Linked DNA regions of Tribolium castaneum. The protein of the gene in region 2 interacts with the protein of the main gene of each other region in a pairwise test. Links are inferred from orthologs where the notes say so. Each region holds a gene or a part of one and is shown on either strand. Other genes may lie near its edges. The genes, in order: heca and unk.

What was found.
Region 1: the proteins of unk (region 2) and heca interact in binary tests that used the Drosophila melanogaster proteins (3 or more experiments, as listed by UniProt). The link is inferred for Tribolium castaneum from reciprocal best matches to the Drosophila melanogaster genes unk and heca.

The regions. Positions count from the first base shown.
Region 1 is NC_087397.1:4,546,290-4,562,414, reverse strand, and holds the end of heca (headcase protein), read left to right. Parts: intron 1-4,162; coding exon 4,163-4,351; intron 4,352-4,414; coding exon 4,415-4,600; intron 4,601-4,859; coding exon 4,860-5,033; 3' UTR 5,034-9,296; downstream 9,297-16,125. UniProt on the Drosophila melanogaster protein: Required for imaginal cell differentiation, may be involved in hormonal responsiveness during metamorphosis. Involved in an inhibitory signaling mechanism to determine the number of cells that will form unicellular sprouts in the trachea.
Region 2 is NC_087399.1:924,629-941,202, forward strand, and holds unk (RING finger protein unkempt), read right to left. Parts: upstream 8,055-16,574; 5' UTR 7,707-8,054; coding exon 7,648-7,706; intron 7,545-7,647; coding exon 7,335-7,544; intron 7,251-7,334; coding exon 6,964-7,250; intron 4,902-6,963; coding exon 4,766-4,901; intron 4,716-4,765; coding exon 4,513-4,715; intron 4,465-4,512; coding exon 4,352-4,464; intron 4,305-4,351; coding exon 4,040-4,304; intron 3,989-4,039; coding exon 3,078-3,988; 3' UTR 488-3,077; downstream 1-487. Other genes in the region: uncharacterized protein LOC659874, read right to left, coding at 10,277-10,778, 12,048-12,912, 14,761-15,640, 15,688-15,934. UniProt on the Drosophila melanogaster protein: Essential for late larval/early pupal development.

The DNA.
Region 1 (16,125 bases), on a different chromosome or scaffold from region 2:
CTCGAGAGGATTGCGAGAGATGATCATGAAGTTTCACGATGATCTGTTCAGATGCTCGTTAAAAAGAAAAGATGATTAGTGCTACCAATTAATAACGAATCTTATGTAACTAAACAAACCAAGGAAGTCCATTAAGATCTGTATTTACATTTTCATTTGCTTTTCAATTTATAACTTTCCAAGCGTCATAATTAACTCTTCAAACGAATAATACCGCTTACACACACAAGCCTGAACAGCCGAGAAGCACGAAATTTACAGCGTATCTACAATTTATTTCCTTACACCACGGCAAAAACTAAACACGTATAGCTCTATTTACGGGCGTTGTAATCGTGCGGGAGCGAGATATTTGTAATTGTCTCATAAGGGTCGGAGTCGAATCGATGGAAAAAGTCCGGGCTGGGGCATTAAAAGCGAAGTTTTGTTGACATGAACCACTTCCATCAAGGAAACATACAACAGTCGTGTCGTCCAGACAGGACCAATGAAAGAAAAAGTGTTGAACAACAGGAAACCAGTGAACGGAAGAGTGATTGACAATAGCGAGTCTTTCTTCCACCCGCCACGATTTGTCATTTCCCATCAAATTGAATCGGGAAACAGTGCGACTTGAAATCAATAACAAAATTGAATTGATGAGCGACGCAAAAACAATCAATCGACCAATTAAGCAACTTTTTCCAAAGAGCACTCTGCCATTCATTACGAAACTTTGGGATATTAATTGGACGTCGATTTTATCAAGCGAATTCGTCGAATTTGCAAATCCCTCTTTAACTTTTTTCACTTAATAATTAATTTCAATCTGAAAGTTTTTCGACGGTGGCGGTTTGCTAATCTGCGTCGGGGTGTTTTCGCACGGAGCTTTCGCCGTGAAATTATTTCCGCGTTGAAAAACTACATCGTCAAAGCTCCCGTGAAATAAAATACATTATAACAAAAATAATTTTCCGTGTCGCTGATAACAAGAAGAGAAAATCCCAAAATCTAAAACGGAAAGATCTGATTTCGGCTTAATTTTGCGAGGTGGTGACTTGTGAACGACTGGATTAAACTAAGCCGCTTAAAAAAGATCGCACGGGAACGGCGCAAAGATCCACCCTTGCGACGCCTAAAGAGGGCCACGAAACAAAACAAATATTTTTTAAAACACAAAATGTACTCTTGTCTTCCAAAAACTTAATTGGCGCAGTCAGTAGGTGACACCTTTGTTGCAGTTCCGCAACTTAAAAAATAAATCTAGATTTCAATTACGCAAACACTTTTCGGGCAGGCGGTATTAGTTGGAAAAGTTTATATTTACATGTTCTTTCAACGGGCTTAAGAGCCACTAAAAGTGTTTGCATAAATAATTAATGTGGATTAAAAGATTTGGCCATAAATTTTCGCCTCCACAGTTTCAATAAGCGATTAATCCTCTTGTTAATATTAGATTTTGGCTTGTGTTGTGGCATCGTGTCGTTGGAAAAACATGTAGACGCATCCGATTTTGCATCGAGAATGACGCCAATGTTTCATAATAACAAATCGCGTAAAATTTGTCAGACGGCGGAAGGTCGTTCTATGACAACGTCGCTAACATTTAGAAGCGTGGCCCATGCATTGGTTGGTGCATAGAAGTAGGCGTCCAATGCATTTAAAATTAGATGTCCTTGTATTCGTTATTAGCATCCCGGTACAGTCGTTGTCCTATTGCAGGTCATGGCAGGTCACGGCGTTGCATGTGCTCAATGTATATAATTAATCACCTCGACGTCAATGCGACGTCCATATAACGTCGTCAGAAGAACAATGCATCCCTCATTCTCGAGCATAAACCACCGGTTAACGAACCTGCGACTACTAATCGCACGAAAAATCGCCCATTTGGGTCGAAGACTTTGATAAAAAAAAAGTCGCAATTATCAGTTTCCTGGATAGACGAGCATCCGTTTTCGGGCATTTTTCCGATAAAATATCACGTGTCGGACGACATTCCGGTGATCTCTGCGAAACCGGTATTCCAGAGGTAATAATAACGAAAAACGAGCTTGCAACTTTGCAATACATCGACTATTAATTTTCGCAACGGTCCATGTAATTCGGTGAGGACGGCGACGGTGATTTAGGAGCTGCCACTGGAACAACGTGGGTTCAAATCTCGCCGATATGGTGGCAGTGAAATATGGTGCGGCCAGGATAACAAGGAAAAATTCCTGATAAAATCCATCGAATCGCAGCGTAATTGTTAACAGTCGTGTTGCAAGAGGAAAGTCTGGCTTTTGACGGGAACACGCCTCTCTTTTGACTTGATGATGAGGTGAATAAGGAGCGCCCCGGAATCCCATACTGACGCACGTCCTTTTAGAGACGATTGATCGCTAAATAACAGATGTCTATCTGGAACAAACTGCACAGATTTCACTTGCCATATTCGTAGCGAGCTGTAAATTAAACTTGCAACTATAATTGCGACCACTGTTTCTGGATCGCGACTGCATCGACTCGATTCGTTTGATTTGTGCCAGGACAGTGACTTCCGTGACTAGATTTATTACACCTAGTATATATTTGATTCAACATACCTGATTTTTTTCATTCTGACCCGTGTACTATAATATATCTTCGTGGACAGTTTCAATTAAGCACCGTAAGACTTGCTTGCCATCGATTAACTAGATTAAAGCACGAAAGAATGCCACATTTTTGCAACAACTGACTTACTTACGGCTTCCAAGGGACGCCTGACTTAAGAACTTCATCTATAACCATGCGGAAATGTGAACGAAGCGCGTTGGATGAAATATTTATGTTCTATACTCGAGCTATTTAAATTTCCCTGCCACACACACCTCGACGAATATGTATTTGACACAAAAGACAACTTTCAAAATCTCAATTTTTTTTTAAACTCCAATCATCGTGTAAACTAAGAAGATTGTATTTTTAAACTTTTTTTTTTAATTATTAAAAAAATAATTGCTGTGCTGATCAGCGATCTCCAATGACTCACTATAATATTACATTGAACTTTTAACATATTACGTAATATAATTGGGGGGTATAATCGTAATCAACTTTTTTGGATCGATTTTCAACATATTACCTGTGGCAAAATGTCTAATATATAAATTGAGGCACGCGATACGAGCGAGCCCTCCGGTAAAATTAAGTTTAGCCAATAATTTTTTGCGCGTTTATATTGTTCGTCGGTTGATTATTATAGTATGTGGTTTCCTTATAATGCGGGTATACACCCTGTATAATTCGTCGATGATTTTGTCAGCTCGAGTATTAAATTTTTGGCTTTGTGGAAGTTCATCCGGCGAAAGCCACTAACCATAAATTTCGTTCGAATAACAATTCAGGGTGTCATCGTGCAAGAAGACAAACCGCTCCCTGTTTTTGACTGTCCGGCAGAAAGTTGCAAAAGTGCGGTTTATGGGACCGTGGAGCTCGTTATAAACTCGAAAACTCGCCGACCAACTTCATTACATTTGCACAGCAGGAGCCGAGATGACCATAATAGAAAAGCGAAATTGACTAAATAACAACGTGCGAGTGAAACGAAACTTCCTCATGTAGAAATATTTAATGGTTTTGAAAAGTCTCGTCACTCACGCGTTGACAAGTTAACCACCGATTTTTTCCATGACATAAACTCATCCGCAAATCCTCGAGCTTGCATATTCGGAAATGATTAAAGTATCAGAAGTTGATGCTCGAGCTGGGCGATTTTTTGTTTCCAATTTTTTGCATTGTCAGATTAACGTGTCCGCCGCTGCTGGTATTAGGTTCATGCAAGATGACTGCTGGAGATTGTCTTAAGAGGCGCTTCGCAAGGATCCACTTTACTTCGCGCTTGGATAAAATTGAAATATGACTCGAATTATTAAAGTTACATTACGCTTAAGCGCCGCTTCGCTTTATTATCTATCACAGAAACTATATCAGACACATATTTAGCTGTTAGTCTTATTAAAATCTTGTACAAGCAGGCCCCTCGCTTCCAGTTTGCGGAGAGCCCGAGGATCGCTGTTTGTCGAGTGTGGTTATTGCGTCCGGTCTCACCACCTTATTAAACCTCGTCCGGATATTATCCCTCAGCGTCCCCAATCGGAAAATGATCAAAGCCCTTATCTCCCCACGTGAACTGAAAACATCGTGTTTTCTTTTCCAGACGGAAGACGAGGGCAACCACGGAAACGATGACACTCGTTGCTTCATCTTGTCAACTCTTGCATCTCAGGGTCGCTCCAAAGTGCACTGTGTCCTCTGCGAAGAGACGATGCCAGTTTTCGATAGGTATCCTCTAGTCGATGGCACATTTTTCCTAAGTCCGCGCCAGCATGCCAAAGGCTGCATCGAAGTAAGTTACAGAGGTCAAAGCACGGCTATTATGTAATTCATTTTTTCTTTCTGTCTCCTGCAGGTGAAAGTAGAGGGACGCACCCAGTTCTTGACAGCAGTCTGCATGGCCTGCCTTGAAGGCGTAAACGGACGCGCGATTATCTGCAGGTTCTGCAACCAGAGATGGGACGGATCCTCTCTCGTTCTGGGTACCATGTACTCCTACGATATCTTCGCTGCCATGCCGTGCTGCACCGAGCGCATCAAGGTAACAAATCACAAGAAATCGAAAACATCTCAACAATTAAGCCGACCACAAATTATTGCCCGTCTTATCAGGAATTGTTTTTGTTAACATTTTGTTAACAATTCAATAAAAATTCGTTATCTGTATGTAACTTTGTCGCGACTTCTTTTATAAACATCAGAGGATCAATATCAACAATATTGGACCTATTTATCGATTTCTAGCGAAGTGTTGTTCTGCAGATTGTGCAGGAATTGAGGTGAGGTTGGTTTTGTTGCAGTGCAACGCGTGCTACAAGCCAGTGCTGCACCCCGCCCAGCGCCTGAACTTCTTCAGCGACTACAGCCACATAGTGCCGTGTCCGCATTGCCACACGTTCGACACGCACTTCGTCAAGCCTTTGGCGTACTGCTACGCCCGCCAGCCGCTGCGGTCGCTGCAGATGTGGCCATAGCCCGCGGCCCCCGCCTCGCTCGCGAAGGCGCCGCCGACGCCGCCGTCGCCGCCCCCAGACCTCATGGACCTGGATCTGGGGCTGCTGTGGCGCGAGCTGGCCGGCTTGCGTCTCGACGAGTTCTGCCGTCTGCAACTCACCAGAGCGCGGTAGACGGACTTAGATTTCTTTGTTATGTTGTTGCATTTTATGTCGCATTTATTTTTGGGGGGCGCTTTCCTTCTGGAAACGGCCCTCAGACATATTCGCGTGTAAAACCGTTATGTTATTAGTTTATTATTAATTATATGTTTGTTAGGTTTTAGTGAATTTATATTCAACTTAAGTCTTTTTATCAAAGGAATGACATTGTGATCATAGTTATCTTAATTTCTAGCTCGAATTCAGTTGACGCTAAAGCAGGTCTTGTTGAACTGACAGTGAGTGAAGTTTGAAAGCAATCCCGTTTGAGTTTTTTTTTGTCTAATTGATTTGAGTTTTGTTTTTTTTTTATTATTTTTTATTTGAAGTTTAGGTTAAAGTTATGTAGAGGCAACTGTGTTGGTTACGTTTACACGGATCGTAACGATCGCTTTATTACTTAATAACTGTAATACATAATACTATAGTAATAAAACTGATATAATTGCTGTGTCCCAATAATTAGTGATAGGTGTGAAAGGTGCGGGACCATGGAATGGGTCTCGCGTGCGTGTCCCGTTATCGTCGTTGTTGTTGTGATGGGTTCAGGGACAGTCGGTCTCCCTGCGAGTAGCACACTGCCACTTCATCCCGCTGCTGCACCCGTAGCCTTCCAGAAACGGACGTACAAAGAACTCAGCCGCTCAGATTATCCGCGAATACCTCTTTAGACTTGATGGTGATTATGATGAAGATGGCGGACCTAGGAAATTGCTTCAAGTACAAACCGTTCGTTACTTTTGCAAATTTTATATAAATGATAACAATATAATCGATTGTTGAGGGTAAAATAATTCCTATCTCCGTTTAGCCAAAGCTTAAGTCCAGCAGGTGGTGAATTTTTCTCCTACCAATTCTCACACTCATCCAATTATTCCTACTCTGGCTAAAACTTTCCAGTGGACAACCTCTTTACAAATATACAATTTTCGCCACTAACTGATCAAGCCTGTCCATGTTAGCTGACTGGGAGAGCCAGTACCAGAAAAATGCACTACCTCCTGGACTTTTATGTTGTTTTTTGAAAGTACTACACATCGACCGACTAGATATGTTGCGCGAGTGCGAGCGAGCTTCTGTAACGTATTGCGAGCGTAGCAGTAGTCCCTTAGCGTAGTGGTAACTGCATGCCCCCACTCTAAACCACCCCTAAACCGCTTCTTGTTATCGAGGCCTAACTCACGGTCTAACTTTTCTACGTGTAATAAGAATCCTTGAATGTTGTCGTTTTTTGGACAAAAACTGTACATAAACGTGTTCGAATTCGGAATCCATTAAGTTTTTCAAATTGGTATTATATGTCGATTAATCGTAAGTCTAGCTCGTAGTCGTTTTTTACAATAAAATACGAATTAATAAGTAGGTGTAGTCGTTGAAGAGGCGCGGGCACCCCCAGCTGGTGCGAGGACCAATCGGTGGCTGCCAGAGCTCGACCATTCGTCCTTTTTTCTCCTGATCAAGACGAGACATTAATAAGTCGGCGGCGGTCCGGCGTCCTCTCTGTCCGCGCGCGGCTCGGCTTCAAAACCACCATTTAGCGCCATTTCGTGTCGTGTAACTCCGACATAATTTCTTCCGACTGCCGTGAAACTGGGAAGCCTCCCGTTGGGGAGGACTACGGTTTCACGGTGGACGGAGCAGATTATGCAGATGTATAACAGTCGCGCCGAGCCGTGCGTTTCACTCCGATAAGGCTGTCCATGCACAATATTATTACACGAAGGCGCAATCAGGGTAAGGGTCGTACCGTAGAGCACCACTATATAGTGTATTTTTAGCGTAGCTTGGCTGCAAGTAGATAATGACATGTATCCGTGTGTGTTTCGCTTAGCTAGCTGTCTTTAATCCAAGAACCAGCAACCATGAGGGTATCATTCGGCGCTTTCCAACCACTCGTTGGTTGGAAAGCGCAATCCGCTAGTCGCGGTCCATTCTTTCATTAATTGGCGTACTAATAATTGTGATTTTGTACACAGAAATTTCATATTTTTGTGATGATATATTTTTATACGATCGGCTGTTTTCTAGACTTAAGTGGAACCGATACAAGTTATTTTTCGAGACGAGTTGGCATTAATGTTGTAACCGGTTCCGTGTGATCACGATCAATGATCGATTCGAAGTGATAAAAATTTGTATATAAAAAACGAAAATTCTTAAAAACACTAATTTTTTATACGTAAATTTTTGCATCTTGTAGCGAGGTAAGGTAGGTGTAGTTTCCATCTCTCATGGTTGCGTGGGCTCCCTTGCTTTTGCGTTCGGGGCCGCCCCATTTAGGCTGCCACTCCATCCCTGCATTTTCTTTTCGCAAACATTACACCTTTCTTTCGCCCACGCCGCACCACCGATAGAGAAGCAAATCGAAAAAATGTGCAGGCATTATGTCCAGGATCAATGTATTAAAAAATAAAGCAGCAAAAACTGATCAAATACCTCGCCTATAAAAATCTATCAAAATTAGGATTTCTGAATTTCCTTGAGCTGGTGCAGTTACAATTGAAACTTGGCGGGCATATTTCTCAATGTATCATCTCTTGGCCAACAAAAGTTGAAATCGCAGTGTCAATACATTCCGTAGATACGAGTTTGAGAAGTCTGTTTTAATTTTTTAGCCACCCTGTACAGCAGTTAGTGTATGTCGCGGTTTGCTGCGCTGCTCTCTATCTTGTGGTGTGGTCAGAATGCGCAAAGTCCGTTTCGTTGTTGTGTGTAGTTGATTTTTCACCGTACGAACTCCGGAGTGAAATTTGGAACATTCGGCCGAAAGATTGACCATTTTAGTTGAATAATCGCTCATAATCCTTAGGCAATATATCCCATTTAAACAAGTGTTTATAGTACTTTTAGTTTAACGTTTTATACAAAATGAATGTTAGTGCTAGTGAATTTCGTTGTCCGGTTTTTTGTCATAGTTGAATAAAGCGTCAGATCGTCGGAGTGTCGCTTTGGGGCGGTTTCTTTTCTCCTATTAAAGTACAAATTTGGTACACACAACATATTAACAAATGGTAACCATGTTTGGTGTCGTAGTTGTGTGAGGGCCGTCTTGCGAGGCGGCCGGTATAGAGTAGCCGCTAGGATGCTCCCTCGCTGTTTTCAATTACACATATTATTACTATTGGGAAGTGTTGCGCGTTGAGAAGGTAGTTTATGTATGTTTATAGCGTACTGTAGTAGGGGCCGGACGGGGTGGCAGAGGGCGAAGCGGGCGCTCTGCATTGCCGCCCCTTGTGCTAGATAGGGCCGGCACTACTTTAGCAGAGCGCGGCACCAGCCACTTGTTATCGAAGAGTTTCGACTCGAGACAGTTACAAATCAACCGGTGATTACTGAATGAGTACAAATGCTGCCGCCCCGACCCGTGCCGGTTTATTATCATTATTATTATTATTGATGATGTATTCTTCAGAGTTTAGCATGAGCAATATCAGCAGAGGTTTTATTAAGTAATTTTTTTACCGCCACGGCCGGATTTCGACTCGTCGAGGTCCGGCCTCGGGCATTTGGGAAAGGTTACGTTTTGCGGGCGGCGGGCGTGGCGTTCGCGGAGCGTTCCTGGATAGAGATAGCAACATGTGCCATACCTGAGGGGATTTCAATGCCAAAAATTGAACGCTGCGCCAACGCCAACGCCCGACCCCGTCTCAGCAAATTACACACAATAAAAATGAGTATGTATTTATTCACACTACTAGAGTACCTATGTCGCTGGAGAAGCATGCAATTTGTCAGGATCTTTCAGTATATTGTAAATTATCTATTTGTAACATTAGGCTAACAATAAATTGGTGCTTGGAAGGACGTTGTGAGGTCTGCGAGTGGCTTAAGCTTTAGAATGTACAAAAATTATTTATTTGACCCAAACGAAGTTTAGTTGAATTTCTAAAATTCGAACCCTTTTATTCGTGGGGCTCACGATGAACGTCCGAGCATAAGTCGAAATGTTTTTTATATGCGTGAAAAATTTGATATCAATATAATATATGACATAAAAATGATCGAGCTTTTGACGGCTTTTTATATGTAATACAATGGGATTACAAATTTTTAAAACGTAATAAATATAACCATTGTCTAAAACCGCCTCTCATTTCGCCACCCAACCCAAACGCTCCCGAAACTTGAACAAGTGCCGGATATCTTCGAGCAATTCGCTCTCACCACCAAAGCAACGACTGTCATTCCGAAATTTGCAAGTGTTAAACTTTGCCACCGCGCAACAACTTCCAGTGGCTTAAATCGGTGTGTGTTGTGATTAAGTTTGATGTATGAGCCGTCTCAAACTTATCTTCGTTCGTGATTACACCGTGAAGTTCGCCGAACCGGCGATAATGCGGTAAAGATACTATTTACTATGCCATTCATGTGCATCGTGGCCACTCTGCATACAGGACCTTCCTCGTTTGTCACCGCTGCTTGGTCGTCGAGTCACGAGATCACAATCCCTGGACGCTCCCTTCGGGATTCGCAAGATTGACAAAGGAGAGCATTGTCTTTCAGCAGCTTAGCGTGCTCGAATTTCTCGCCCCAAATCGGTTTTCGAAAACTGTAAACTGTTCTAGCTTAAGGCGAAGCTGTAGAACGTCTGCTGTGGTCAACTAATTAACTTGGCTATTCGGTTTCTTGACGCACAACTCGTGAAATTAATTTCATTCAGTCAGAATGGAACCAATCACGGATCCAGACGTGCACACCTTGTCCGGATTTATTGTGCGTATTGTGACTGCAACGCTCATAATTATCGAATGTTTAACAGAGCGTTTGTAATTCGATAAAGGGGGAACGTTCGTTATCGGAATTGCACACGCAGGATATTTGAAACTTGCAAATTTCATTCAGGGTGAACCGATAATTTCCACAGTCAAATTGCAATCGTGGAAACTGTCTCAGGAGTGGCGATAATTTCCAGACAAATTGTCTTGTTGTCAAACGGGACGGCATGTGACGTATTTTTGTTTAACATCTCCATAATTCTGATTTCATAATCCCGTCCCAAACTTGTTTAATATTCATTGCCTGTGGAATTCATCCGAATCACGTTCCGAATGCATTTACAGTTTGTCACTGCTTCAAATTTATCTCCCGATAAATAAATTACTTTAACTTCGACAAGTAAAAAGCAAATCTTGTTGCGATTACAGCGTCACATTAAATTGGCCAATCTTGATACTACTGTGTTTTGAATCGTTCCGGGATTATACAAAGTGTTGTTAAACCAAGTTTTCAAGACGATGCTTTTTTACGAAATCTCGTATGCGAACGGTATGTCCGTTGTGCTCGTTAGGATTCCCAATTTTGGTATGCAGGACGCAAGAGGGACGCCAATCTGTCAGGGAGCTCCCTGTCTTTGAATAACTTAACGGATTCTTATCGCCACCCCGAACAGAACGGTTTCTCCTGAAGTTATTTTTGAAAGCACCTAATATTCATTTAATTAAGAGCGGTTCAATATTACTTGTATGAAGTGGTTTTTTGATGCAGATTAACGCTCTAGACCGACAAGGAAATTCATTTTCAGTTCGCCATCAGCATCACTTTTTGTTAACAACACAATGTCGGCAACAATATCACAACCAAAAACTTTTGCATAATATTATCACAAATTAGAGACGTAATAATTCCTTTGTGCGCAGACTAATAAAATGAACAGCAAAAAATAAAAGAGGCGAACTCAAACGCGTGATGGAATAAAAGATAATTGTTTGTACCCCGCTTCGAGACTGAAATATACGAGTGTTCTGAGTTTATTTTTTCAGAAAAAATGTTTGTCAACAGTATTTTAACTCCCTTTTATATGACTTTCTCAGTTCTTTTCAAATAATAATAAAGTTCTGATACTTCGTGTTACGTAATCACCTCAACTATCTGAGACAAATACTAGAATTCTAGGTCAAGTAGTTGGCAGGTCCTAAAGCAGGAAGGAATGGTTGAAATGAATTTTTGTCGTTTCTATAAGTAGCCTCAATAATGTTAATTAGTGTAGATGCACTTAATAATTTCAATTCAGTTATTTTACCTAACGCAAACATTGTATGAACGAAGTTTTTTGTTTTTGCCAGATTCTTTGCTTTTCTCTGGATTCATCATTTAATTGAAGAGCCACTTTATGAAAGCTTTGATTTCGGTATTAATGGTCAAAAAGTTTTGAACAAACATTTTGCAAAAACATTAATCAAAGAGTTCGGTACAAAATAACAAGCAACAAGGATTAACACAAAAAATGAAGTAATTTTTTTCGGGACATTTGTTCGATTATTAACTTTCTAAAGTGAAAAAATTCAGTCCATTATTAAAACTGAATACCATTTTTTTAAACCACCTAAAGCGATTTTGCGTTTTTAATTTTTTCAGTTTAATTATTTTCCGGATTCGATTAATGCGCAATTCTCTTCAAGGATAATTTTTGAAGTGAATTGAGAGTAAACACGGAGGCAGAACAAATATCATGTACAAAGTGGAAATTTGATTGCACAGAATCCGGATCTAGTTAATCCGGTTTATTGTTAAACGTATCAAATAGTTTGGTAGCCATTGTTTAGTTGATTGTCCGTGTGAGGTTCCTTATTGCGGCTGGCCAATATAACAGGCAGTCCAGCATTCCCAAGTCCAAGTCTGCGGTCGGACAGGGTAAGCCCTAACGCCTGGCAAAGCTGCGGCGTCAGGCTAAATTACTAAACAATGCATAAGTTACTTTTGAATAATTCGATTTGGTTCACATGACATCAGCTCGCTGAAACGATCCTGAAACGGGTAACTTTGGCCAAAATTACGTGACTATCAGCTAGTTTTAATTAAATCGGTCTACAATTTCATTACACAACAATTCTGGTGGAGGCGCCGGGCCCAAAGTGTTTTTTCGCATTTTGACATGTATTTAATTAAACTTGGTTTACTGAAATATTTAAATTACGTCCGTATAATATTGTGAGATTTTTTACTGTTTTTCACTCCAGACGACGACTCACGTTTACGCTTAATATTTTAAAATTTCGAGCACTACATTATAAGTTAAATTAACTTCTCTACACGGTGTAGTCTGGCCGCGATGTAAAAATAAAATTCAATACTTCACGTCGTTGCATTGCTTCCTTTGAGCAAAAATGGATTCATAAAGTTGGTGAAATGTATACGGCGAACGCCACCTAAGGTTAACAAATATTTTGTATTCTGTACACAGACTCGTCAGACGGTTCTCATTTCTACGTGTTTTAATTAATTTTTGTCTGCATTGGTTCGTCTGGGTTTTAATCTCTGCTAGCGTTAACAATTCGAAATTTATGAATATTTGCGTTCGGATTAAACTTTACCGATGGAATAAAATGCGAGATGATTGCTGCCTCCGATTCATTGCGACAAGCGACGCTTTTTACAAGAACAACCGAAATTAAGTGGATCAACACATGACTAAATAACCAACAAACACTGCTAGCAAGCAGCCAAATAATATCTAAACTAACCACAAAGTTGCAGTCACTTTGAGCAGTTAATTAACAACTTAATTAATTTGCAAATTGAAGAAAACAACGTTTTGTACGTAAACTATACTGTATACAGTGTGATCCTAACTAATTATGATAATATAAAAATATAAAACTCGAATGTTTAACATGTTCGTAAATTATCCCGGCGCATCCACCATTTTTTGACTTACCTTTTTTAATGTTGATTGAAAGTAATTTCTATGTCGCTTTTTTAGGTTTAAATAATTACAACTAAAACTTCAATTCTAATTGTACTAGACGGAAGTTTAAATAATTTGTTGTTGTTATATGTTTTTATATGTGTTCAGTATTAATTTATTTAACTAAAGTAGACAACATGCGAACACTCTGTGGAGCACGTTTCACAATTTATAATTGTTTATTTTTCGGCTCATAAAGTATCTATTTATAAATCCTATTATTATGGCGAAATGCACATCGTAAATTTTACGGTTCATTACGTTTTGAATTTATTGTACGCGCATTGCAATTTATAAATTCCGCTTTAATCTTTTTACTATTCCAACACCGACCTTATCCTTCTGCTTATTTAATCCCAGCAATTTGAAAACGCAAATTAACAAAATGCCCATCACGTCCGGCGCCGCGCTCCACCTAAATTATGTTCATTGTGTTTAAGTTAATTGGATCTTGGCCCCCGCCCACGTTGTTTATTATTCATAAAGGGCCGAATATGGAAAGACGATCTCTTAATGTCGCGGTCAGCGACGGGGTCCGATGCTAATAAGCGAGGCATCGGGTGACAACCTCTTACCCCATTATCCAAACAAGGCTGCGTTCTCTGGGGTAATCACGTCAAAACCACGTCTCTACGCCGGATCTTTTAATTCTCTCGCAAAGGGTTGATAAGGGGGCCCCGGCAATCGGCTTAAGCACCGAAAAATGAAATCCTCGTTTCGATTTTAAGTAGCTGGGATAATTTGGACGGGGATGATCTCGGAAGATCTCAAAAGGCACGAGTTATACGAGCTTGATTACACATGTCCGATGAATACCAACAAGACGAGGGACCGCGGGGCTTCATCACTGCAACTCCCCGGCCTTCGGATTGGATTTCCAAGGCGGAGGCTTTATAATTGCAACGGAACTAAATACGATATCGGGGACAGCAGGGCACATGTTCCGTTACCGAAATTAACTTTCGCTTCAAGGGAACCGCATTGATTAAAATGCTTTGTGCTTACCTTTTGCCATTCGCTACTTTAGAGATTCACAGATTACGCAAGAACTTTTGCGCGGGGACCAAGATTTGAAAAGTCATTTGGTTTACAAGCACAAACATAACAAAAAGTGTCTTTGGTTACTTATTATGCAATGTTATAACCGTTGGTGGAAGTTAAAGCTTTCGGGCTTTGTTCACCTTTTGCGCAATCCGTCAGTGGCACCGAATTGGATTACGGCGTAGTAAACTCGATGATATCGCATGAGTTATAGTACGAGTACGTGAGTGCCAATACGATTCACCCAAACTTCTTTGTCTCGAAACATCTTTACCCAACTTACGACATATTTCATGATTCCAATTCTTAATTTACGACCGGAATCACGCCCGTATTTCCGAATCTACATCGCGTTTTGTTCTTGTTTTCGCTCGTTCCATCAATAGAGCCCAATTAGCACTCTCCATATCTGATGCCATCCTCTAAATTAGCCACGACGTGCTAACAACACCACATATTTTCATCAAGCAGACATAATCCCGACTCGTGGGCGATATATCAGTCGTTTGTGTAAACTCAACTCGACAACAGGACCGTTGGATTTCAATTAAGTGCAATGAATTTATCGGAATCAGTCGTTGCTGATTTGGGGACGCTCTGGTGGACTTGGAAACCGCGACGCTCGATATTTATTTCGCATTCATTGTCCGAAAACCACCTCTGCTACTAAATGCGCAAAAGTAAATTGAGGCTTTAAAATAAATGAGTCTGAAGCGCTAACAGCTGCACTGCAGAAACCACGAGCTCTCTTGAGGGAAAACACCCTGTTACCGCAGGAGATACGACGTGGCAATCGCTCATATATTTTATTTATTGTCTTCAATAATAATAATTAGTGAAAAAAAGACTGTCATTTCGACGACAAAAGCGAGAATTGTTGCATTATTTTCCAGATAAACAAGGGAAGCAGTTGAGAATGAAATTAAAATAGAGGGTGTCGTATTTTTCTGCAGACGCTGAAAAACTGAATTTGTCGTGCATTAACATGTCTATTTAATTTCCATTCGGTTTTTGTTGAGATATTAGTTAAATGTGGGTAGTTAATTAAGTTAAGTATTAGGAAAATCGACGAATCGATTACAGTTGCCGGGCGGAGCGTTAATTAAGAACCCGAGGTTGAAAGAAACCCTAAGCCCTTTGGGACAACCTGTAGCGTCCTATAACAATTAAAACGCCTATAAAGCTTTGAAAGTGAGAGGGTTGGAAATGCATGCGAGTCCAGTGGTGGTCAGCCATAACTGTAAAACGAAATAGTTGCCATCACATTCAACCCCCCTAACGACGCAATGCATACTTACAACCCTATAAACAAAGGCTCCTCCCGCGGTCGCCAAATTTACTCGACTGAATTGCACATGATGCAATAAAAAAGTCCCGTATATCCCTCGAAAAATGTTGTCGAAATTAACATTCCCGAGGTAAAAAACGTTAGTTACCCTTTGTGTAAATATCCTCCCGATCAACTTTTAAATGAGTCACATCCCCTATCAAAATAGAAGGGAATTTCCGAATTGCGACAAAGCAGCGCTCTGTTTGCAGATTAAATATAAAATATGCACGGAGCGAGAAGGATTTTTAACCGAAGATTTAAAAGCGCGCTTATAAATTCCTAAAGAGGTATCAGGATGATATGTTTTTAAATGAAAGAGAATAAATTAACTGTCATTTTCAAAAAAGTGGGGCTGGTTTATTCAACCCCATCCTCTGACACAAAGTTGTCTTTGCGCCGGAAGTGGACAAAGCAAAGCCAGCGGAAGCCAGATGCCTCTCCACACCACTTCCTGTTGAGCACACTTTGCACAGATCCGCAGCAAATTGCTAGATGGAAGCTAGGAAAGCGGGCCCTTTTTAAGACACGAAAGTCGTCAGGTGAAATGGAAAATGGCGAACGGAAGTGACAAATTCAATTGGCGAAGGGAAGTGACTCTCGTCCACACGGCGTTCACTCGATTATGGATCAAAGTCCGTGCGGACGACACAAATCTAATTACCTGACCTTGCTTCCTCATTTGAATCGCTCTATGGCGCAAACTTTCGTTTTAAATTTGCCGGATTAGGACCCGGAGTCCGGAAGCAAACTGGAACTCGTGCGGGCAAGCCGGCTCAGTTCTCAGTTCAGAATTTTTGTCTGAATTAGCAATAATCATAACTAGGATGGTTTGATGGGATCTGATAAGAAATTAAATA
Region 2 (16,574 bases):
TGCGCGTGGCTGGAGCGCGCCGGATTTGAATAACTTTCACGTTAAAATTCACAATTTTATTAGGGACAAATAATAACTTATAAAAGCAATACATTTGATTAAATCTAATCCAACGACATGATCCTTACAGTACTTGACACTAACCGTGTATTTCAAAAATATGTTTTTATACACTACACCACACACACATATTGCCAAAATAGCTACTTTATTTCAGAAAATCCATCCGTATTTTGTACTCATTAGAAAAATATGGTTCTATACAGATCTTTAAACACATTTTCGCGAAAGACTTCGTTGTGACAGCAAACATAACCGTGCCCGTTTAAAAATCCGGTCTAGAACCAAATACAATAATCATTTAGAAACATTCTAAACGCGCGCTCCGTAGGAAGATTGTGTTTTATTCAATAGTTTGTACTGGTTGCGTCAACAAATAGAATTTCAATCAACAAAACTTAACATTTCGAAAATAAAATAGAAAAAATAAATTTGAAATTCTAATTTAATATTTTTTAAAAATACACAATCATTACAGTGAATTATAAATGAAATTTAAACAACTAGTAAAAATACAACGAATGCCTAAATTTTACGCCACGGCTTGCTTGATGAATGGGCGGCATTGATCAACAAAGCCGTGCTTTATGCAATGGACAAATAGATATCGTTAAGACAATGTTTTCTCATGTTTTACTCTAACTGGAGAGGTAAGCCAAAAAAACTCGCTTTGGTCGCTTATTGCATACTGAGTCGCTCGATAAAAAATTAGTTCTCTTGTGTGTACAAAATCAGTTTTTTTGGCCTACGAATATCTAACTGCTACGTGTGTAGTTGTAATAACTATAGGCCCACTACTTTGTATTTTATAATTTATTTATTAAAACTACCTACCTAAGTATAAGTATATGTTCTTTTGTAAATAGAATTCCATGACAAACATTTTATGTAAATAAGTCATTAAAGCTGTTTGCAATAATTGCAAAATTTATACAGGTCAGGTTTTAGTGGCACGTACCAACAACACTGGGAAAAATAAAACGTTTCTTATGGTTATTATTACAAACGGCTTTAGTTGCGAAAAATACATTGGTCATACCTGTGAGTTGTAAAGGGGAATCTACGTTACAAATAAATACGATTGCATCAGTCATTTATAAAAAGAAAAATCAAAGAAAGAATTGTTTCGCTGCACGAGCCTATTACAAAGAAACGCATAAATAATCACAATATTTCCGCATATATAAAAATACAATCTTTTCCTTTTAAATAAATAAATCTTGATATGTTCTAAACAGTGCAGCTTTTTAAAAACGTAATAAAATTCAATTTGAAAGTCCTACCTAACTAAAACGTAACAAGAGTCCGTATTGAAACCGTCAAAGAAATCTGAGAGAAATGCAGTGCGCACAGCCCAATTAATAAATGCACGATGAACGAAACCATGCCAAAATTTCAATATGTTACAATTTATTGTTTCCACAGCAGTATTCAGACCAGTTTAAACACGGACAATTCAATTGAATAGTTAGCGATTGTGCAAAATCACGAATCAGATTCGACGATTTTGCAAATTCGCGCCTAATAAAACAAATCATAATCATCTTACATTGGCAAGGCCAACTTACACCAAATGGCGCTGCGCTCCACTAACTGCGGATATCAAAAGGCTAGGATGCGAAACGACGGACAAATAAAACGTCCCCGTCGCCAGAAAGCGCAAAGTAAACAAAAAATACAGACAGATAGAGAATTAAATTCTCATAAACATTTTATCGTAAACTGTATTAAAATTTTTTTACCAATTTGCACTTTGCCCCATATTTTTCAAAACGCAACGAATACGGTTAAAGATACAAGAAAAATGTTGGGAAGAAAGTTGTAGGGAATTAAATTTCCTACAAAAAAGTCCGCTAGACCATACTCCTATCTTAAAGTTAATTTGAAGATAGAAATATGCTCCTTACACTTTTTTTTGTATCTTCAAGCTTACTTAAAAATATAAATAGCCAACATTTTTTTATTGGCTAATTCAATAATTTTTCGGTTTATTTTTGACTAAATTTGACCCTTGTGATTAAAATTTGTGCCAAAAATGCTCGGATAAGGCACAAGTAACGCAATTTTTGATTTTTTTTTTGTTGATTTTTAACAAAATTTCGCCTTTAAACATGCTTTATTTGTTAAAAAAAAATAAAGTAAAAAATTACTTTCAACCTAATTGTATAACAATTCGAAAAACGCTTAAAATAAAGTCGTTTTCCACGTAATTTTATGAATATTTAATTGTGTTTTAAGGAAATCTTGACAAGAACTAACTTTATGACTTCATAAACGCCGGTTTTCGCAAGATTTTGGCAAAGCAAAGCTTTGGTCAAAAATAATTAATTTTGTTTTTTCGGAAGTTTTTTTTTTAATATTCCCATTGACAAATTGATAAAATTTCTGTTGAAAAATTTGTCACAAATGCTGGGATAAGACAAAAATTACTAAAATTTCGAATTTTTCTGTTACTTTTTAGCAAACATTGCTTAAATATATGCTTAATTTGTCTAAACAGTAATAATAATAATTCATTTTTGAGCTAATCGTTTAACGATTTGGCTCTGACTTTACGAAAAAACACATATTGTAGCCCAAAACTTAAAAAATCGTTTAAAAATTATATAAACAAAGTCGTTTATGAGCTAATTTTGAGCCGTGTTTAAGTGAAATCTTAACAAAAACTAACTTTACCGCTTAAAAACTTATTAAAACACTGGAAAAAGACAAAAATCCCAAGATTTTCGACCTAGTTAATGTCATTTTTAGGCCTGCTTTTTATATTTTCCGATAAAACTTCTTACTATTGAATACTTAATGCTTTATCTGTCTGTATTTTTTTCTTTGCTGTGTTAAGCGTTATCCAAACTCACTTAGACGCCCTCTGGCGACAATAACGCAACTAGCTCACTCGGTACCGTTTTATTTCTTCGTCGCTTCGCATCCTAACCTTTCGATCTCCGTAGTTAGCGCCCCGCCATGATGTAAGTTGTCCATGACATTAGAAATTTGTTAAATACCTAATCATCTCTCTTTCACATGTTATTACTCAAATTGAACGGTGTCTGACAGTAGGGACATTCACTCTGCGTTAGGGCACAACTACTACACAGAACGAAATGATTGCAATTTAACGTTACAGTCCGATTGCGCTCCTCACAAACCATACATTTCGAGGCAGTCTCGCGATATAAAACCTTCTCAATCTCCTCCAAGTCTTGTTTCAATTGCGCGTGCAGATTTTTCAACACACTTAACGACAACTTACTCAACTCGGCCACGTTCGTTATGCTTCGGATATGAGGCCCCCCTTGCAATTTCTCAAACTCCTGCTTCAAACTACTCAACTGTGCCACAGTCTCGTTGAGTTGCGTTACAGTTTCGTTCAATTTCGTCTCGGTCAGGTGACTCTTACGATTCGCTTCTTCGGACGCTTGCTTCCACAAATCGCACGCAGTCCGGGCCTGTTGTAGGCGTTCCTCCCAGCTGCTTAGCTGCATTTTAGCCGAATGTAATTCCTCGCGTAACAAAGCCACCTCCATGTTGCTGTTGACACTCGGCGACATACTGAAGTTGTTGTGGTTGCGTGACGTTGGCGAAATACTTTGCGGAAAGTCGAAGAAGTTCTGATAGGAGTTGATTTTTGATGCACTACTACTGAGCTGAATTTGCGAATGATTTAAAAAGTCCATGTCGGATTGGGAGAAACGAGTTGATAAAAAACCACCGTGGATTTGTAAGGGGCTATTGCTGGTTGGGCTGAAGCCGCCCAAGCCGGAACGAGCCGATCCTGGAATGTTTACAGGGGCGGAACTGCCCAAAAGGCCAGACGATGCTAAACCGACCGATATTGAATTTGTGACTGTTGGCGATTCGGATTCTAAATCACGCTCAAGGCCTGATAGATTCAGCGAATCGTCGAGAGTTAGCTCGTCCAATGCGTTACCTTGAATTCGACCAATAGCGTTCGAGGGAATTTTACAGTGTTCTGACTTACCGACTACTGTGTCGTTAGTCGAGCCGAAGAAACCGCCACCGAAGGGAAACCGTAGCGATTGCTTCATTTTTTCACGTTCTAAAACGTCCAAACTTGGATCTTTCTCAATTGCTAGTAATTTGTTGTTTAATTCTACGCCAAGTGGCAGAGACCGGTTAAAAGGTAGCGACTTGTGGGCTAATTGTGAACCGGGAGCTTTACTATGCGAACTATTTGAACCTAATGATGACGTCGATGCTGACTCGCTAACTTCGCTGCTACCATTCTACAAAAACAAATTAGTTTTGCAAAAAATCAAACGAGACGACTTACGGAGCTATCGCTGCTTTTTTCTTTCTTATCTAAACTAGGCGGAAGAGCATTTGATAATATCTCGGCAAAATTTGTACCACTTTCCCCCGTGTCCCTCGAAACCCCCATTTCCTCTACAATGCAACATTACCAAAATTTAAAAAAATAAAATCCCCACTTACGTTCAACGTGAGCAAATGCGCAAAACACCCCCCGTGGGCAATACCCCGACTGTTGTACATCATTACATTTGGTGCTTTTGTAAATTTCTGGATGAAACTGTTGTTCGGTTCGTGTGTGACAGTAGGAACATAAATCGCCAGAGTCACAATTTCCAGGCTCGCCCCATTCCTCTCCATGTTTTACATTAGGGCATGGTGTTGATCTGAGGATGCGTTTAATTTTTTTTTCTTTGGTGAATTGTTTGCCACTTACCGATATTTAAATTTCCGAGGACTTCTTCGCTTGTCTTTGCTATTGTGATATTGGGGACAGGCGTATCCTTGTCTACATAAACGTGGGGGCCTTTTACAAGGTTCCGTTTTGTAATTTGATAGTACGTAATTTGTATCTAGAAGAAAAAAAACCGACTTGTACAAACGATTTTTATTGGAATTGTAGTGTAAGATTAGAGCTCAATTAATTAACGTTAACCTTGACATTGTAACCGCATTCGAAATAATAGTAGATAACATTTTTTCAAACACATAAACACAACAGCGACCACTATTACAACGTTTATTAATAGCAGAGAGGCGATTTTATATTGGATAGGTTTTGGAAACAAACTAAATAAAATCTTTTCACGATTATTGTTAACCATTCCCTTTGTTTTTCTTCTTTATTATCAGTTACACGTTGAGTTTTTGTAAAAATCCATCCGACAAACCGGTAATTAAGACAGGAGATATTTTTTGTTAAAGGCAATTACCTGTTTATTGATATTATTACATAATTATTGAGGTGCGATTTAATTTTCTTGTGCCTTATAACAAGAATTAAATAAAAAAAACCAACACATTATATTGCAGATTAAGAATTCCGAAATATAGGATTCTCTTCAGTGCTGTCAATTTATTTAATTTCAAGGCTTGGAATTCATAGGATTACCTAAATTTTTCTTAAGTTACAGAAAATAATTTGTAATTATTTGAATTAATCCACAAATTATAGGAATTACTTTAATTTCCATAAAAAATTGTGGAATCGAAATTTTAGAAATTCAATCAGAATTATTAAAATAATTGGAATCTATGGAATTACTGCAATCTTTCTGGAATTGCTAGAATTATTTTCGAAATTATCCGAGATTATTTTTGGAAACGACTACCATATTTTGGAATTAAGGAAATTTAACGGGAATTAAGTTGGATTTATTGGAGTTTTGAAAGAATTTTTTTGGAATTGGAATTAGTTGTACACATTTTTAGGAGATAATAATTCTAGCATTTAATGAAAGGTTTCGATAATCTAAATATTAATATCATAAACAATAAATAAAATAAAATACAAAATACCCATGTTATATTTCTCTAAACATGTGATTTTTTTAAGAATATTTCTACAATTCCTTAAAATTAATTAATTAATAAAGTCACTACCGAATCTTAATATTTCTTATGTCATTTTTAGAACATTCTATGCTTAATTGTAGTTTTGTGCAAAAAATCTGCAAACAAAGGTCACTTTTTTCAATATTTTTTATGTTATTTTTTTAATTAATATTTATTTGTTATTAGGAATTGTAGAAAAATTCTGAAAAAAATCACCCGTATTGAGAAAAATATAAAGTATCTGAAGCCAAACGTTGTTTTTAATGTGATTATTCGTTTTATTATAATGTCTATTTCAAAACAATAGAAACATCTGTCACTTTTCACAATTGGTTTTGGCACTAAATTTGTTACTAGAATTCAATTTAACACAAAAGATGTTAATCTGCGACCTATTTGACCCCAAACAATGAAAATGCGCTTGCTAGGGCTATTTTTTCTAGTTTTGAAACAAAGTCGTAAAAAACATACCTTTCAGCAGACTCACCCTGTATAATGAAATAAAAAATATTTTTTTCTCCCAAAATTAGTTACTCAAGCACTACTTTCTGTTCATAAATAAAAAAAATGCATTTTTATCGGCAAAAAAATCGTTTGAATTTTTTTAAATGTCTGGAACTAGTTTGAATTTTTTTAAATTTAAATATTCGAAAAACCAATAAACTTTTATTTTATTTACAAGTCAAAAAATATTAGAATTCTTAAATTAATTTAGTTAAAAAAAAGCAATAAACTATGGAAACGGAATAAATAATTCATCGTTTGGCGCCAAAATGAGTCACGCAACTTTCTGTGCATAATAACAATAAAAAATGCATTTTTAATCCACAATCTCGCACCGCTTTGAATACAATTGAAAGCAATCTGACCTTTCAATCGGCAAACAACATAATAAAGTTCACGTATAAATATCTCTCGAGATAATTTTTATCTCTAGTTATTACCTTCACTAAATTGCCCCAATTCCCGTAAACACAATTCCTTGCGCCAACACAACAAAATGATGCAATCGCACATTTGGCAACCGCTCTCGCCATAATCCCGAACCCCACAAACAAACTTGTTGTCCTAGTCAATTACCTTGCCACTTGGGATCCTCATTCATCAAGTTCCGCTCCTTGTCCAGCGCATTGGGGCCATTGGCCGAGCCGCTGCCCTCGGCCTCGGCCGCCTCCAGCGCCTGGATCTCCTTAATATCGTAAACTGGGGGCCTGTGGTCGTGGCTCCCGTGCGCGAACGCGCAATGCAGCCCATTTTTTACGCAATAGCCCCGGGAGTCGGTGTCGTGCACGCACATGCACGTCTTGTAGTAGCGCAAATGGTAGCGGCGTTCGGTGTCCCCGGCCGTCCGGTGCAGAAAGGGGCACCTGGAACGTTTGTTGTTGTTTTGATCAAGCGCGCTCCTGTCACACCCACAACGTGTGACAGCTAACCAAAAAAGGTGTACTCACTCGTCGCCATCGGGGCAAATGCCCGTTGTTTCGTCGTATTTAGTGCAGTAGTTGTCAGCGGAGTAGTTGAAGGTGCCGTCCCGGCGCCGCACGGGCCGTCTACGCCGCTGGTTCATGAAATGCCAGTGAAAACAGGTGAATGGACGATGCTGCGTGCATTTGTGTTGCAAGAAGAGCGGGCATTGCTCGACTCGGAACTCCTTCAAATACCTGGAAAAAGGCGGCGGTTGGGCGGCGGAAATGCGGGAAAAGGGGGCGTGGGGCGTCGGCGGAGGCGTCGCGACGGCACACACGCCACTATAAATACACTTACGAGTAATGATTTGGCTTTTCCGTCTGAGCTGTCAACAAAGGTTTAGACTCTGACGGCATTTTGTAATCACTAAGATGCGCGGTGGTTTCGCGCAGGGCACGCTCATAACGGGCCAATGGCGGCGCCCGCTTGCGGTCACGTGCCCACCAATTTTACCATCTTCAAGGACATTTGTGTTTTGGTCAATTTGGAAAGCACCTGATTTTGGGAGGAACCATGCCTGTTGGGTGCTTTATGGGGGTTTGATGGGTTTCTTTGGGGTGAGGTGCATGTGGCAGGTGGGAGGGGCACGCCCCCGCGAAACTGGGACAAGACGTGCTTTTGGTGCGTAATTGACGAATTTTATTTATTGCTTCACTATTGCCGGTCACGGTTGAGTTGTGAAGGTTAATAACTGGGGATAAAGGCCTATCTCAACAAGCATTGAGTTTATTTTTGGTCATTAAATTGTGCATTTAATTAATTAATTTCCTCTACTCTTAATTGTGGCTTAAACTGTGTCAATACTCTAATCTGTACCTTTGCCGTGCTTTTTTCATTAAAACTTGCAATTATAAGCAATTATTTATTTGTTTAAATGCCCCAAAAACATTAAAATTTGGGGATGTTTGTTGCGTGTTTTTTACGTTGGTAGTTTTGGCACCTTCGTTGGCGTCATGCGCGTCCTAATTTTTCGTGGTTGTGTTCAAATTCGAATTATTTTGCTTTAATGCCGTTATCGCAGTGTTGTTAATCGTTTTGTGAATGATTTTCCGGTGAGTGTTAGTTTTATGGTCGTTTGAACTGGCGACAATCACACTTAACCTTAGGTAATTGCACAGCATAATTTCTTTTTCTTAGAAAAGATTAAACACTTGAACAGTTTTTGTAAAGGAAAGTTGACAGTTATGTGGTATTACTTGTAAGTGCGTACCATTAATTTACTCGTAAAGACTTTTATTAAAAAAAATGCATGTCAAGGGTGCACTGAAATTTAGGCATGTTGCGTGGTTTTTTACGTTGGTAGTTCTGGCACGTTTGGCGCCGTCGTGCGCGTCCTAATTTTTCGTGGTTGTGTTCGAATTCGAACTATTTTGCTTTAATGCCGTTTTCGAAGTGTTGTTAATCGTTTTGTGAATGATTTTCGGTTAGTGTTAGTTTTATGGTCGTTTGAAGTGGTGACAATCACACTTAACCTCAGGTAATTGCACATGATAATTTCTTTTTCTTTGGAAAGTGTAAACAGTTAAACAGTTTTTGTAAAGGAAAATTGATAGTTATGTGGTATTTCTTTTAAGTGCGTACCATTCATTTACTCGTAAAAACTTTTATTAAAAAAAAATGCATGGTCAAGGGTGCCCTGAAATGTAGGGATGTTGCGTGGTTTTTACGTTGGTAGTTCTGGCACGTTTGGCGGGGTCGTGCGCGTCCTAATTTTTCGTGGTTGTCTTCGAATTCGAACTATTTTGCTTTAATGCTGAAGTGTTGTTAATCGTTTTGTGAATGATTTTCGGTTAGTGTTAGTTTTTTTGGTCGTTTAAAGTGGCGAACTTTTGAAGCGGCAATCACACTTAACCTCAGGTAATTGCACATCATAACTTCTTTTTCTTTGGAAATTCTAAACATTTGAACAGTTTTTGTAAAGAAACATTAATTTATTTCTAAAGACTTTTATGTAAAAAAATGCATGGTCAAGTGTGCTTTCAAAAAAAATCATTTTTTTTTGCAAACTGACTGTAGGGAGGTTTTATGGACTTTTCTCTCTTTAGAACTCTCTCGAGTTGTTAAAAGTGCAAAAAAACATCAGATTTTTCCGATTTTTGCCGAAATTTTGGCCGATTTCCTGAACATTTATCGTACAATAACTCTGGAACGGTTTGAGAAGCTTATCGTTGGAAACCTCTTTTTATTTTTTTTCTTGGTTTTGTGGTTGGGTTGAAAGGGATAAAAAAATGGGGCCAGTCCAGTCTTAAAGCTTTATATTTCTGAGTAAACACAAAACGTAGCAAAATGTCAGCTTTATAAATATAATACAATTAACACAAGCAACAAGCAATAAAAATTGTACAATTAGACATGGAAAAAAATACAAATTTATACACATAGAAAAACGTCACGAAAATAATATCGAGTACAGAGAGTATTTGTGTAATTGACAGGTACACGATAAATAAAAGGTCAAACAATAGTAATAAAAAACAATGTCGAGTAGTTAAAACGGTCCGCTCTAATGCTAAGTGGAAAATTCGTTTGAACGTCATAAGCTACCATTTGTGAAATATGGACAAGTATGTAGTAACTCAACGAAAACATTTAATTATCAGCAAATTATTGCTATGCTGTTGTTTCGAACCCCTAATTTGCCTCTAAATCGATCCGACTATACAAATTCTAGTGCAATGGACAATTTCTCAAATAAAAAATTTAATAACTACGTGCATTACTAGCTAAATATTTGCCCTTATCCTAGATTTAAATTCCTGCATTTATTCATAATTCTCAACGAAACCATTATACTTTTACGCCCTTGTACTACACTCGATTATTATTGATATGAAAAATGCCACAGTGATGCTTGTTATCGTAACTAAAATATCACACGGAAACTTAAAAATTAACCAATCAAATTGGAAAATCACAAGGAAATGACTCAAACGGTCGTACCGTACGTACTGAAAACCACCCGAGTACTGTCACTGTCTAAAGTAACGTCCTCGGGACTGGCCAAGTCGACCTTAACACTACCTGAATTATTACGTTTGCGCTGACCCCAGTTGTTTAACGTCCACTGGTAGACACCGTCGCTGGAATTGCGGTTCGATTGGAGACCGTTATGGGGGCTGTCGAGCGTTTCCGAACTCGAGCTTGTCTCAAACGAGTCGCCCCCGCCTTTATACCTATTTATACCACCGGATGACTCCTCAAGCGAAATGTGACTCTCTTCAATACCGCGTAAAATACTCTGACAAATGTCGGATTCCAAGGGAATGGGATCGTCTGAATCGCGGTTAAAAATCGTAACGGCAATGTGTGCGGGGTGCGGAACGGGCAAAGGAATGACCATTTTATCGGGCGAAAACGGCCGTGAGTGCTTCTTCCAAGGCGTCCAAACTGTGCCACTCTTGATCGAACCCAACATCGTCAACGACTCCCTGAAACCCCCAATTAATTTTTTGTACAAATAATAAAAAACGTCACAGCAGAATCTCATTATCATGGGGAAAACCAAGCCCGATAAATGAAATGATTATTAGTTTAACTTTGAATCGAATACGAAAAAAATACAATTGAAATTTTTTTTTGGTTAAGTGTGTTTTTATTGCTTATCTAATTTATATGCAATCTTTATCTATGACATAATTTATTTGATGCTTCATTGTTGTCGTTTTTTTTTCTGTTAAAGCAGATTCCCAATTTTTTGTTGTTAGTTTTTATAGAAACGAATTTTATAGAAAAGTTTTAATTTTTCAACAAATTTTTTACTTCGTAAATTATTTATGTTATACAGTGCATTCTAAAAGTCTTTAGATCAACTCTTGCTGTGATCGCGTTTGACACTTCAACAGAATAAATGGACAATCTATCAAAGACAGTCAATCTAAATTCCACAGCAAGAGCTGATCTAAAGATTTTTTGAACGCACCGTATGATATTTAAAAATATACTATAAAAATATAATATAATATAAATATATATATTATATATATATATATATATATATATATATATATATATATATATATATATATATATATATAAAATAAATATATAAATATAATATAATATAAAAATATACATTTACCGTGATAAATAAACCATCAAAGAGATTTGAGACAGTTACTTCATTTATTTAACGGCATAACTTCACCTAACTCCAAAACCACAAATTTGACAGAAAACTCAAAAATTTCAAATTTTTGATATTTATTTTAGTGTGGAAAAAAATTAAAATTGAAAAGTTGCACCTTTGCAAGAGAATTCCTTACGGAAATTTACAAAATTGTTTTTAAAAAGCTAACTTTGTTGTCTGATTTTGAGAGGGTTCCTGTTATCCGAACGAACTGAAATTTTGCATACATACGTAATCTCTGTGACAATACGACAATATCTGTTTTAATTAATAATTTATAAATAATTAACAATAAATTTTGCAAGTACGCGTATTTTACATGACCTTACAATAATCTTTCCTTTAATAACCACAACAAAAGACTAAAAATAAGCAAAAAATCCACATTAGAAGAAAAACATTTCACTTCATAGGTTTTTCTAATTTCTGAGATTGTTAAAACTACTACATTTGTCGGTTTTTTTGCATATTATGAGAAAATTATTCGATTCATTTAATCATGACTAAAGAAAAATTAAAAAAAAAACACGGATAGAGGTTCTGCTGTACCTCTTGTCTTGATTAAACTTACGTCTTCTTCTCGCACTTTTTCACCGTCGTGGCGAGCTTAGATCTGGGATTAAACGCCGACACTTCCAAATAGGGGGAATGCACTTGAATATTCCCCCTTGGCGTGTAAACATTCCCCAACAGATCGGGCCCCCGAGCCCCCAACTGTGCACACTGCACCATCTCCGTATACCTAGACAAATCAGCTTGCGGATGCGGATCCAGCCGAAAACTCGTATCCGTATGATCCAACGGCGTTAAAATATCCAAACTGAAAAGTTCCGAATACAACAAACCAGCCAATCCCGCCCAATCCCCGGGACTCAAAGCCCGATTATCCCAAAACTGGTCCTCACTGCACCCCAATTTCGGTAAAATATGCGTTGGATAAAACCTCTCAAGCATCAGCGCCCCTTGTTGAATAGCAATTTTCAATTCGGACGTCTCCAATTTAATTTTACTTTTAACGGTGACACTGAGACCGGTTTGTAAGTCACGTCGTCTCCGTTCGAGTTTCTCGTGCAGGACCGTCATCAGGTCTTGGGCTTCCTTTTCGAGATTTTTATAAGGGCCGTTTTTGGCCAACTGTGCCGAAAAGCCACCGAAACACGCTTCGATAAAGTGGCTAAAGTCACGCTGTGGTTGTGTGATTGTGTTTTCGACGACGGTTTGGTATGCGGACAGTTCGTCCCATTCCATTTTGGCCTCGAAAGCGGCAAGGGCCTGCTCTGGACTGATTTGGAAGTAGTAGTCGGAGGCTAGGCCCGGTCCTGCGATGCGTTTCACAACGAAACTGTCACTGGCTGGGATACGGCCACGTTTTTTGATTATTAAGTGGAAGAGGGTCGTGTCCCAGAAGAGGCGCAGCCAGTAGCGAGCAATGCCACCTTGGGGAAAAAATTGCAAGCTTTATATTACGACACGCAAAACGGTTTCGTAATGAGCGCACGGAGAACTATGTACTAGGAGACGAAACGAGATGCAAAATTGTACCCAAAAATATTTTTGACGATAGTTTGGCTATTTTTTTTTTTTTATAAATTTGGTGATTTTTGGGAGATTTAAGATGAAATTCGGCAATAATTTTCATTTTCTGATCTAAAAGTGTGTAGAAAGTCACAAAAAGGGTAAAAACAATGTCGAAATTGAGGTTTTTTGATTTAGAATTTCTCCAAATTTGATATTTTCGAACTGAAAAGTCAACTTACACGTTTGGAAAATTCTAAAACACTGCCTTCTGCACCTTAATTTGGCGATTTTTGATGAAATTTTGTGAAAAACTGAGTATCAAATTGAAAAAAAGTGTACAAAATGTTTTTTTTCGACCGAATTTGACGATTTTTGAACTGATTTGTGCAAAATATATGCGTTTTAGGCAAATTGAAGCATTTATAGTTTGTAATAATTTTGATTTAAGTAAAAAAATTATGTTAAAATATCTGTAAAAGACGGTCAGTAGCTAGGGCCTGGTGGTCCAGTGGTAAAAGCGCCACTTTCGACGCGGGAAGTCGGGGGTTCAAGCCCGGATCAGGTCTGACAATTTTTCAATAAAAAAAAGTAGAAACAAGTATAACATGATGAAAACGTAAATAAGAAATTACACAAAATAGACGTAAACGTAAAGACAGATACGGTTAAAAACCGGCAGAAATAAGAAAGTAGTAGTAAAAGGTGAGTACATAAAGGCCCTAATTGTAAGCGTAAGTGATTATCGAGAAATATAAGAAAAAGAACATAAACGTAAAAGTGTAACAGAATTTAAAACGTAAACGTAAACCAAAAGATAACATTATTTTGAATTAAAGAATATTTAAATGAATTGAAAAAAAAATAGCAAATGTCTGTCTTAAACACGTTAATATACTACAGATTTATTTGTGTATTTTTTGAGTTTAATAATTTTTTTTTAATTTTATTTAGCCTGACCTGACCTGACTTATTTTATTTAGAATCTTTTAGTCCTTTAAGAAACTTTTTACTTGTAATATAGCTACAGCTGTAAAATTACGATCCGTATCGACGATTTTGAGTTCAGAAAAATTATTTTGAAAATGAATAATCCCTTTTTGATGACATTTTGAAAAAATCATAGTAGCCTTAAGTTTTGACAGTTGACACTTTTTAGAACTCTAAACATATTATTCATTTATCGTAAAGGGGGCTGAGATATTTTAAATAAACCCATGCAAATAAAAATTCTAACAAAAAATTGACATATGTCAAAAACTATGACAGATAAGTGCCAACAGCTTAGGTAAATGTTACCTAAGTTTGTGACGGCACGATTTAAATCAAGCGACACACGTTCAAATTTCATAGGTGACTTGATAAACAACCATTTTTGAATACATTGTATATTCAAGAATACAAGAATACATAAATTACAATTAAATTTTTTAAAAGTAAAAATTTCAATTTTTTATAGTATAGTTTACGTCATAATTTTTGCATTATTACTTTTACCTCTTTTTATTTTTTGTGTTAACTGTTATTTAAATACAACCAATATAAAAATGAAAACTTACGCAATGTAGGAAATTTAATTATCTACAATATTTTTTGCAACATTTTTCTTGTATCTAAAATAATTGCATGATTTTTATCTTCTTACTCATATTGAGAATTTAATTCTTTATCTCCTGTATTTTTTTATTGTTTTTCTTCACCGTTATTTAAAAAACATCTCGTTTCGTGTCTGAATTTCGCGTTATCAGTTAATGCGTGAAAGCAATCACCTGTCAAAATCACCAACGCAATAATGGGGCACACAACCGCGGCCACAAAAAGTGCAACAATCGGTTGCACGCACCCTTGAAGCCCAATCTTCCAAACCAGTGCTTCCAACAGTACGAAAAATCGGTTCCTCTTCTGTTCCGGACAGTCCAGATCATAAATCAACGCATTGATTATTTGCACCGCCAATGTAAAAACAGGCATCCACACCACCGCCGTCAAGGCAATAAAAACACTCGCTGCGATCACAGCGACACACACCACGGGAAAAATCACAACTAGGACAATCGTCCCGAACAATCCCTTGAAAAAATAGTTCCAAATTCGGTTCAAATGCCGCGTGAAGCCTTTCCCAATGAACCCCGTATCAGGTTTAGTCTCAAAGTGCGTCCTGGACTTGGAAATGTGCCTCCAGAGGCTAATCAGACGCGAGCACAACGTCTCCGTGAGACTGCTTTTACGCGGGAAGAGCGTCCCATTGACTTGGGACAGCTCCAGGTCGGGCATAAAGGGCTCGAGACTGAAAAGCGCCCGGAGTCCCACAGGACTACACCACGGCAACACGATCCCGAAGAAAAACATCGCGTTCCAAGTCCAACACCACGTCCGGTGGAAGTAATTGAAAATGCGCCAGAGCGGCCACCTGGTGGTGGTCGTCCGGACGATCTCCTTCTCCACCAGGAAGACGGGTTGGCTGGGGTCGGACCTAGGCGTCGTGATGCTAGTCGCTTGTTTGCTGAGGACAGTCGGGACGACTTCTGATTGGCCTTGGAAGTTTCTTCGCACAATCCAATTGGTCGGGAGCCAGATTTGGGTCGGCCAGAGGAACGAACGTGTCGGGGTTTTGACTTTGCGCAGTTCGCGTAAAAGGGCAGGTTCTCTCTGGAAATGAGAGTTTAGGGTGGTTTTGGGTGGGGTTGTTAACTGACTTCTCTCATGAATGCGAGGTCACGGTTGAGGAAGTAAACCGTCTGGTGGAGGCGTTTCGCGTTGCATAAAGTGAGGGCTTCCTCGTGGGCGCTCCATTGGTTCTCTTGACTGAATTTCAGTTCGGCGGAACGGAGGCGCGAACGCAGCCAAGGCTCGATGCGGGAGAGGACAGGGTGGCTGGTGCAGAGGCGGGTTTTGATTTCTTCCTGAGATTTTGAAAGACGGTGTTGAACGTTCTCGACGGCCCTGGTACAAAATAGACAATTGTGCGAGGAAAAAATACGAGACAATAAAATTAGACTTGGTTTTGAACAAAAAATTCGTACAATTGTGTTAAAGGCCGAAAAAATTAATTCATAATTCTTGTTTTTTTTTTCGAGTCTTAGCACATTTTCCAGCTAGAAACCTAATTAATAATTATTTATATAATTTCGTCCATAACTTTTTATTTGTTTTTTTGATTGGAATTGAAGACCAAAATGACGAATAAATAAAATAGCCCATAACACAAAAAGAAATTTCGCTACTTTAGTCCTTAATTCCAGTCAAAAAACAGTAAATAAACCTATTTATTTCCCAAAAATTTCTTATGAATACATAAAGCTGAATCGGAATTTATTTAATTTAGCTTATGTCGCACCGTTTGCCTCGTTTTTTAACAAGAAATTTCTTGTTGTTTTACGGGGTTTTCCTAGTGAATATCGAAAAAGCACAAACTTAAGTCTAACACAACATAATTCTTGTTTTTCTAGTGTTTTCAACACATTTTTTAGTTGTTTAATTATTATTATGGTATTAATTTTGTTTTTTAAAGAGTTTAAGCATATTTTTCGAAGCCAAAACTAAACTTTTTCGATAAATTTCGCTAACATTGGCTGAAAAATCT